Coturnix japonica: one gene and its partner. The protein of the gene in region 2 purifies or fractionates together with the protein of the main gene of each other region. This does not show direct contact. Links are inferred from orthologs where the notes say so. Each region holds a gene or a part of one and is shown on either strand. Other genes may lie near its edges.

Region 1 (4,302 bases), about 67 Mb from region 2:
AACAACAATATTTAGTTTTTGTTTTTTGTTTTTGTTTTTTTTAAACAGAAGAAATTTCTGCCACGTACCTGAAATACTGACTAAAAGCAGCTAACACATTTTTGTGTGCTTTGAAGCAGACACCTTTCACCACCAACATGCAGTCACAGAGAAGACCCTGAATGCGTTGCTCGTGTAGCTGCTGGAGTAGATGACAACTGTGGCTAGCAACAGTGTCCATGCTAGAAAGTCACATTACCTACAACAAAATAAAACGCTAAAATGAATTTTAACTGTCAACTCGCAAAATGAATTGAGAACATGAGAACATTTGCACCGTTCTTTATCTCCTAAAGGAAACACCAGTTTAGACTTGTTATGTGAGCTCTGAAGACATTTCACAGCATCACTCACCAGTAGAAATACAGCAGCAGTTACAGAAAATATTGATTTCAATGAAGTATTTATTACAACAAAAAAGCTTCTGCAAAGATGTTCAAGCAGTGCTGCAAATATACTCATCTCTCTATCTACAGGAAACGCACTGCCAGCAATTTTAACAAGGTCATTATATCAGACCTATAAAACAGTAAGATTTGTATAGAACAGCCTCAGTTGCTTCTGGGCAGGGAGAACTCCGGATCAACACAGTATCACATTCACTGCTGTTAACAGCTAAGCATGTTTCTCACAGACCAGGTTAAAGTCTTTTAATTAACAAATAAAGCAGAAAAAAAAATCAAAATGCTTAAATGTGAGAAGAGCGCAGTTATCCCCATTTTCAGTTCTGATGAAGGGTTACAGTTCCCCATTTTAACACACTCCACTACCACACGTTTCCTTTCCATATTCAAGGGACATTGCACTGTACTTCATCCCTCTCCTTCATCTTTTTTTACCAGGCTTTAAAACAAACTAACCACACCTTTTGCTTGCCTCCCCCCGAACGCTTCACAAGGCCCTCAGCAACCCACGAATTCGGGCTTTCTCAGCAGCCAGATGTCTCGGTTTCCCTGAAGAATCATAGAATTACCCAGGTTGGAAAAGACCTTGAAGATCATCAAGTCCAACCGCAGTCTAACCATAGTACCCTAAGAAGGACACCCACGCAGAGCTACTCTCAAGCAAGAGCAGCTCACTGAGGGAGCAGCACACAGAGGGGACAGCGGAGAGCGGCACAGCCTGACAGACAACCAAGGCCATGCCCCAGCCCAGCTCATCCCGGCACTTACCGGCCGCAGTCACCGCGCAGCTCCATCCCATCATCAGCCCCACGCTCAGCCTCCACCCTCCGCTTCCGACGTCGCTCCTTCCGCTTCCGCTCTCTCTACGGCCCCGGACAGGCGGAAGCGGCAGCCGAGGCGGGTGCACGTGTGGCTGCGGTTGGCAGCAGTTGCGGTGAGGGGGAGTTAAACGGGTTAAACGGGGGAGATAAGAGTTAGAGTGCTTCTTTCTAATGGTGACAGCGGGGATCTCTTTGTCTCGCCAGGGGAGGAAAGAGATCGGCCCCATCCCATAGCAGCTGCTGACCCTCACCGCCATGGTCGTCTTCACGTGCAACGCGTGCGGGGAATCCGTGAAGAAAACGCAGGTTGAAAAGCACGTGAATGTTTGCAGGCACTGTGAGTGCCTGTCCTGCATGGACTGCGGCAAGGATTTCTGGTAGGTGGATGATGGCAAAGCTGCCCTGTTTGCTCCTCAGCACTTGTCCCACATCAAAGGTTCACTGTCAGCCCTTTCGAAGGGGAGTAAACTCTTGGAAAGGGCTGACAATAGCAGGACTAGGGGAAATGGTTTTAAGTTGAAAGAGGGAAGATTTAGTTTGGATGTCAGGGGAAGTTCTTCACTAGGAGAGTGGTTAGGCCCTGGAACAGGCTGCCCAGGGAGGTTGTGGATGCCCCGTCCTTGGAGGTGTTCAAGACCAGGTTGGACGGGGCCCTGGGCAACCTGATCTAGTAAAGGTGTATGTTTGGTGGCCCTGCCAGGCAGGGGGGTTGGAACTACATGATCCTTGAGGTCCCTTCCAACCCGGGTCATTCTGTGGTTCTGTGAACACTGTGGCACTGCACTCACTTATCCAGAGCATCCTTGTGCATCTCAGATCTCACCTGGACATCAGTATCAGACTGACAAGTGTCAGATAGCATTGATGTTGTTGCTGAGAAGACCATCAGCAGTAGACAAAGGTGTCTTTGGTACTGAGTGTATATATTAAGACCAGTTCTGCAGAGTAGATGCTGCTTCTGGTCATTGCTAGAGGTTATGTGAGGTTGGCAGTAACATCCAGAATTGTGAATTTGCCACTTTTCATAACTTAGAAGACAGTAGTGCTAGTATCTGCTTTTTAAATATGGATGTATGAATTTGCAGAAGAAAGTAAGCTCATCCTCAAATAATCACAAAGTTATAGAATGGCTTAGGTTGGAAGGGACCTTAAATATCATTCAGTTCCTGCCCCCTGCCATGGTTGCCAGCTGCTAGATCAGGCACCACATCAAGTTGCTCAGGGTCCCATCCAACCTGGCCTTGAACACCTCCAGGGATGGAGCATCCAGAGCTTCTGTTTATCTCCCTCAGTCCTTTATCAACAAAAAAGTTGTTATTCATTTCTTTTTGAGAGGCCACACACGTTGGTCAGAACTGCATTACTGCATGAGTGTATCCCCATTCAATTTAAGCAGTCTTACAAGGTGGTACTTTAACCATGTTGAACTTTTATCATATAAGCGTTGACAGTATTGAGGCTTAAACAACAGATGCTGTTACTTCAATGTGTTGGTTACTGAGTCTGTTTGGAGGACTGAGCACTTCAGTGAACTACGGTTGAAAATCTGTGTTCAGGGGTGATGACTATAAGGACCATGTGAAGTGTGTAACTGAAGATGAGAAGTATGGAGGAAAAGATTTTGAAGCCAAAACTAGTAAAGGAGATGCTAAACAACAGGAGTGGCTTCAGGTAAGGTGTATACTGATATAATAAGTAACTCTTGGTTGTTGAACTGACTGTGGGTTACTGAAGCTGTTCGTCACTGATTTCATCCTGGTTTTCTTCATTCAGAAAATTCACGAAGTAATGAAGAAACCCAATATAAACCCTAAGGTGCGAAACATTCTGGAGCAAATGCGTTCCTTTGGTAATATTCCAAGGAAAAAAGTAAAATTTCAGGTATGTTTTAAGAGCTTTGTAGTAATTGTACTTTAAAAATAGACTTTCCCAGCGTCACTCTCTTTCAAGAAAGGTGGGACAAATTGTTTTATTTTGAGCATCAGGAAGTGGATGATGTTATGGACAAGTTTTAAATAGGAGGTGTTTCTAAATTATTTCTCATTTCATAAAAGGTGTCTAAATGCAGTTTGTCTAACTGCAGTTTTAATTATTCATTAGGCCAGAGACTCACAAAGTTGTCTCCCAGACTTAGGGATTAAGATTGGATGTGTAGGCTTGTACTGTTTGTTATAGGGAGTTTTCCTGTTGATTAGCATTCTGATTCCCCCTCCCACACAGAGTACTTGATTGTTCTGTGCTTCCCAACCACAGCAGACTCCAAATGCTTTATGTGGTATCTGTAAAGAATTACAAGTTGGCCTTTCCTCCACTTCATTTTGTGTCTCAATTTGTAAAGCTGAGAGAAAATCATGACTGCTTCTAGGTGATTCAGATAGGATGTAATAGAACTGGTGTGAAATTGCTGCCAGAGCCAGCCAGAAGGTTAGACTAGTTTGACAAAATTAACCAAAATGTTCTAAGCCAAGGAAGTTCCATTTTCAAGAAGCTTTCTTCTTTTTGGTAAGATATTGCATTGAAAGATCAAGTTTTTGCAGTACATTATTCCAGTTTACCAGTGAAGCCTTTCCAGGTGTCCCTAAAGGATTATTTGTCTGTAGTGAAACAAAGAACAGATCCTTAATATTTTGGCTCATACCAACAATCAGAAGGTTTACTAGCTCTGTTCAAAAGCTTGAGGATATCATTTTCTGTATCATTCTGAATCATTGAATCACAAAGTTGGAAAGGACCTACAGGATCATGTAGTCCAACCGTCCTCCCATTACCGTTGCTAACACAATTGATCTCATCTGGATTATTGTTGGTGAGGCAATTGACAGGCATGGCATAGACTTTTAACTATATGCTACACAAAACAAATTAGCGTTGGGTTTTAAGGGATTCGTAGAGGATAAACATCGAACCAGATATTCATCATGCAAAATAACAAAATTCTTAAATTTAAGAATGAATTATATGGTAGTGAGGAGAAGAAAAAAGGAAAAGGAGGCACGCTTTTTAAAGTTATTGGGATTGTGTTCGTTTTCTTTCCTGCA
Region 2 (3,818 bases):
TAGCGCTGTTAAAAAGGAGAAACTTTAACGTTTTGTGGTGTTGGTCTTGCAGACAGACGTGGTAGTGCAGATGGTCACATTTCAGTGGTGTCGATCCATAGCTCCATGCCACATGTACAGAGACTTAACTCCACAAGGAGTTGCACTGACTCGGATCAGGTGTCTGGATTCCAGTGAATTCTCAACTTTTTGGGGATTAGTAGTTTTGAGGACAGGAAAAGGTTTCTCCTTAGAGAAAAGCTGTGCAATTGTGCATGTTTGTTACGCTGGAAACATCCTTTAGAAATACAGCATGTTTACTTTTCAATTTAATCTTCTACTCCTAGATTAAAATTACACTTGAGAACTTACTCTTCAAGGAGGCTGTGGCATTTCTCATGTGAAGCCGGTTTTCCCATTTGCTTGTGTTTTTGCAGTTAATGTTCATTTCCAGTTGTTGAGAGTGTGAGTATGCAGGGCTCAGGAGATGCTTTAAAGCTTAGGGGGAAAAAAGGTGGACTGTGTGTGCTATGGTTATCAGAACTCTGGCTTAAAAAAATAATGCTGGTTAATGGACTAAATGGTTAATTCAACTTCATGAAACACAGTAGTGAAATCTATGGAGTGATTTTTGGAAGGAACATTTCTAACTGCTTATACGCTGATGTTATTTAAAGGCTCAAAAATTCAATAGTCGCTTTTGTTGAAGACTCTTTTCTTTGCAATAAAGAGCCATCTGTGCAGAAGGCTGACATATCTTTAGTACATTAGGGGGGAGCCCCTCTATTCGATGAGAGACAAGATGGAATTATTTTCTTTGAAATAACTTTTTAGGTTGTAGTAAAACTCGCTGTGTGCAATCTGAGAGGTAGGATATTTAAATAGCACAATCTTGCTTTGAGAGTTTAGCAAGTAATATTAAATGAAAAGTAAGTTCAGATGGTAAATTGTGCAAAGGAAATGTAGAATGCATCATTTCACTAGATAATCTCTGTCATCAGATGTTCATTTTTTTTCAGACTAAAACAAATGGTGGTACTTTTGCAGTCTGAGTATAGAATAGGATGCATACTGAAGCATAGTGACTTGTAGTAGATGCATTTGTGTATATTAGTCATTGCTTGGGAATATGTCTATATAGCTGATTAATCTGGAAATTTAAGCCAAAATAATTTGAAGACTTATATGAATTCCTTGTCAAATCTTTGCCTCCTTCTGACCACACAACTGCACGCTGCTTTTCAGTGTAACATGTTGTGATGTGTTTGGGTTCGTTTTCTTTCCTTTGTCAGCAAATGTGCAAGAAGCTGTAGTTACTTCAGAGTTTAGCAAGAAATGTGATGGAGTAAGCTTAATAGGATACACTTGGATGCAAGACTTCAGCGTTTCTGCTACTAAATGGCTTTGGAATATATTTCAGGGCTTTGACTTTGAACTGTTGTGCAGTTGATTCACTGTTAATCATGAGCTAGGATAAATGCGACTTGATTTTTATCTGCTAATAGATAAGAAATGTGAGTACTGGTGAGGCAGCTCTTAGAGTCAGGTGTTCTGTCTGTTTATTGAGACCAAGAAGTAATGGTGGTAAGTGCCCTAGCAATACTTAATAATAGTATCACTACAGACAAATGTCCCATTAATGTATAGTAGAGATATTCCAGATGTTCTGATCAGGACTTCCTTCCAGTTTGGTGATCATGATGATGATTTTGGCTCGGATTTTGAGATCTATATAGCAGTGTATATGCATTTTTCTTCAAATGAGTTACGGAAATAACTTTGCAGTTTGAGAAGGGATGGATATTGCTTATTAAAAGAAAAACGTGAGCTGGATGAGCAGAAAAGTTGCTAGCAAGTGGGTAGAGCTGGTTATTAATATCAGGTGTGGCTTAATTAGATCGTAGTTGAAGCAACTTTAGGAAGTTTGCAGGATTGATCTGTATTGACTTTATGCATCTGAGAGATCAGCAGTGCACCCTGCTGCAATGCCTGACAGTTCTGTGCAGCAATTCAGCAGCTGGTCTGGCATTTTCAAAGGAATTCATCAGACTTCTTTGTTATATCCGTATTCAGAATATACTTTCTTATATTCTCAATTTTGTCTATTTTGTCAATTAAATTGTCCATGATTTTCTGGCTCCTACTTTTTAGGTATAGATACAAAAACGTACAGCAACTAAACTGAAATATTGGATGTGTCTCATAGAGGCAAAATACATTACAGTTCTCAAACTTGTTAATATTGTAGCCAAAATGTGTGACTTTTTCTTACACCAATTATTAATGCAAGGGGAGAGGTGTTACTTAGAACTACTGGCGTTAAGATCAGGTACAATTTATACTGAATGTGTGCATCTTTAAAAACAAAATGCTTTTGGCTTTGCAATGGCATCTGTTGGCCATGTTTTTAGTGAAGGTGGAGATATACATCCAAGGCCATGTGTTGGTCCTGAAAGTAGAAATTGTAAGAAAGGTTAAAGCTTTCTCAAACATGACATAACTTTGGATCTTTTTAACATAATAATGCGATATGAACATAATACATACCTATGAGTGTAAGAAAGTAAATGATGTTTTCAGGATCTTGCATGTTTGTGATAAATGTGAAAAGGTTACTGTTTTAATTTCTGACCAAAATTAGGAAAACACAGGTTGTTCTTTTTCTCATCTGTTTTTGGTTCTGGTTTGTGTAATATTTCTGTGAATGATTGTTGTTATTATTTGATGATGTTTTTTAACTTCCAAAGCAGATTTAGAAGAAAGTATCAACGAACATGAATTGGAGCCTTCACCTCCCAAAGGAAAAAGGAGGGGTCGTAAGGGAAAGCCAAGAAAAACAAATTTAAAAGGGCAATCAGAAGACACTAGATCCACATCTTCACATGGCACAGACGAAATAGAAAGCAGTTCCTATGTAAGCAGTAAATATGCTAAACTTCTTAGAAGAGAGCGTTGTGTGTTTCTTCTTTGTGGATATAAGTGTAATTAAAATCTGCATTTGTCTGAGCCTCCAGCTGGTGGCCACAGGCTTTTGAAATTGCAACCTTATTTATAACCCAGCAGTATATTTTAGTTAAAATGTTTTTCTTTCAGAGAGACAGGTCTCCCCACAGAAGCAGCCCCAGTGATACAAAACCTAAATGTGGATTCTGTCATGCAGGTGAAGAAGAAAATGAAGCTAGAGGAAAGCTTCATATATTTAATGCCAAAAAGGCTGCAGCACACTATAAGTGTATGGTGAGTAACAGCTTTGTTGTTAATCAGTTTATTATGAGTTTTATCTGAATTGCTGTTTTAGGTTTTTTTACAGAGTCTTCACATGTAATTACATGTGGATGTTGTCTGCTTGCTGATGGTCTCTTTCAGTACTGAAGTGTTGTGAAATGTGCAATTCATTTATTTTCACTGCAGGCAATATGGATAAAAGTTGGCTGTGGGCTCGGAACCGGAATTAGTTCATTGAAGCTCCTTAGCATATTAAAAATGCTCTGTGAATGTCTAAAAGCATACATAGCACCTTTACTCCACAGGCATTCAGGCAAAATCCAGGAAGAATCAATGAACTCGATTCATTTTCTGACCAGAGGATCCGGGCTATGTGACTCAAGTAGGGAGTGAGCCATGGAAGTTCTAGAAAATTCATGCCTTTATAGATGATTGCGTTTGGAAAACTGTCATCTTGAAGAGAATCTGCTAATTTCAGTGCACTTGAGCAAATAGCACTGCCTTTCACATAATCAGTTTTGTGTATGAAGTAGTGATTTGTAGAATGGCCTCAGCAGTTTCTATTGTACTTCAAAGTGTATAAATACTCCAGGCAATCCAATTATTAGTGGTCT

The links.
Region 1: the proteins of PHF6 (region 2) and LYAR purify together in Homo sapiens (affinity purification with mass spectrometry; 3 studies listed by BioGRID and IntAct, with this or other methods). This does not show direct contact. The link is inferred for Coturnix japonica from reciprocal best matches to the Homo sapiens genes PHF6 and LYAR.

Annotation. Positions count from the first base shown.
Region 1 is NC_029519.1:71,297,979-71,302,280, reverse strand, and holds the start of LYAR (cell growth-regulating nucleolar protein), read left to right. Parts: upstream 1-1,282; 5' UTR 1,283-1,377; exon of another isoform or gene 1,378-1,468; 5' UTR 1,469-1,519; coding exon 1,520-1,641; intron 1,642-2,820; coding exon 2,821-2,935; intron 2,936-3,037; coding exon 3,038-3,145; intron 3,146-4,302. Other genes in the region: ZBTB49 (zinc finger and BTB domain-containing protein 49), read right to left, coding at 69-220. UniProt on the Homo sapiens protein: Plays a role in the maintenance of the appropriate processing of 47S/45S pre-rRNA to 32S/30S pre-rRNAs and their subsequent processing to produce 18S and 28S rRNAs. Also acts at the level of transcription regulation.
Region 2 is NC_029519.1:3,895,944-3,899,761, forward strand, and holds part of PHF6 (PHD finger protein 6), read left to right. Parts: intron 1-2,726; coding exon 2,727-2,893; intron 2,894-3,072; coding exon 3,073-3,216; intron 3,217-3,818.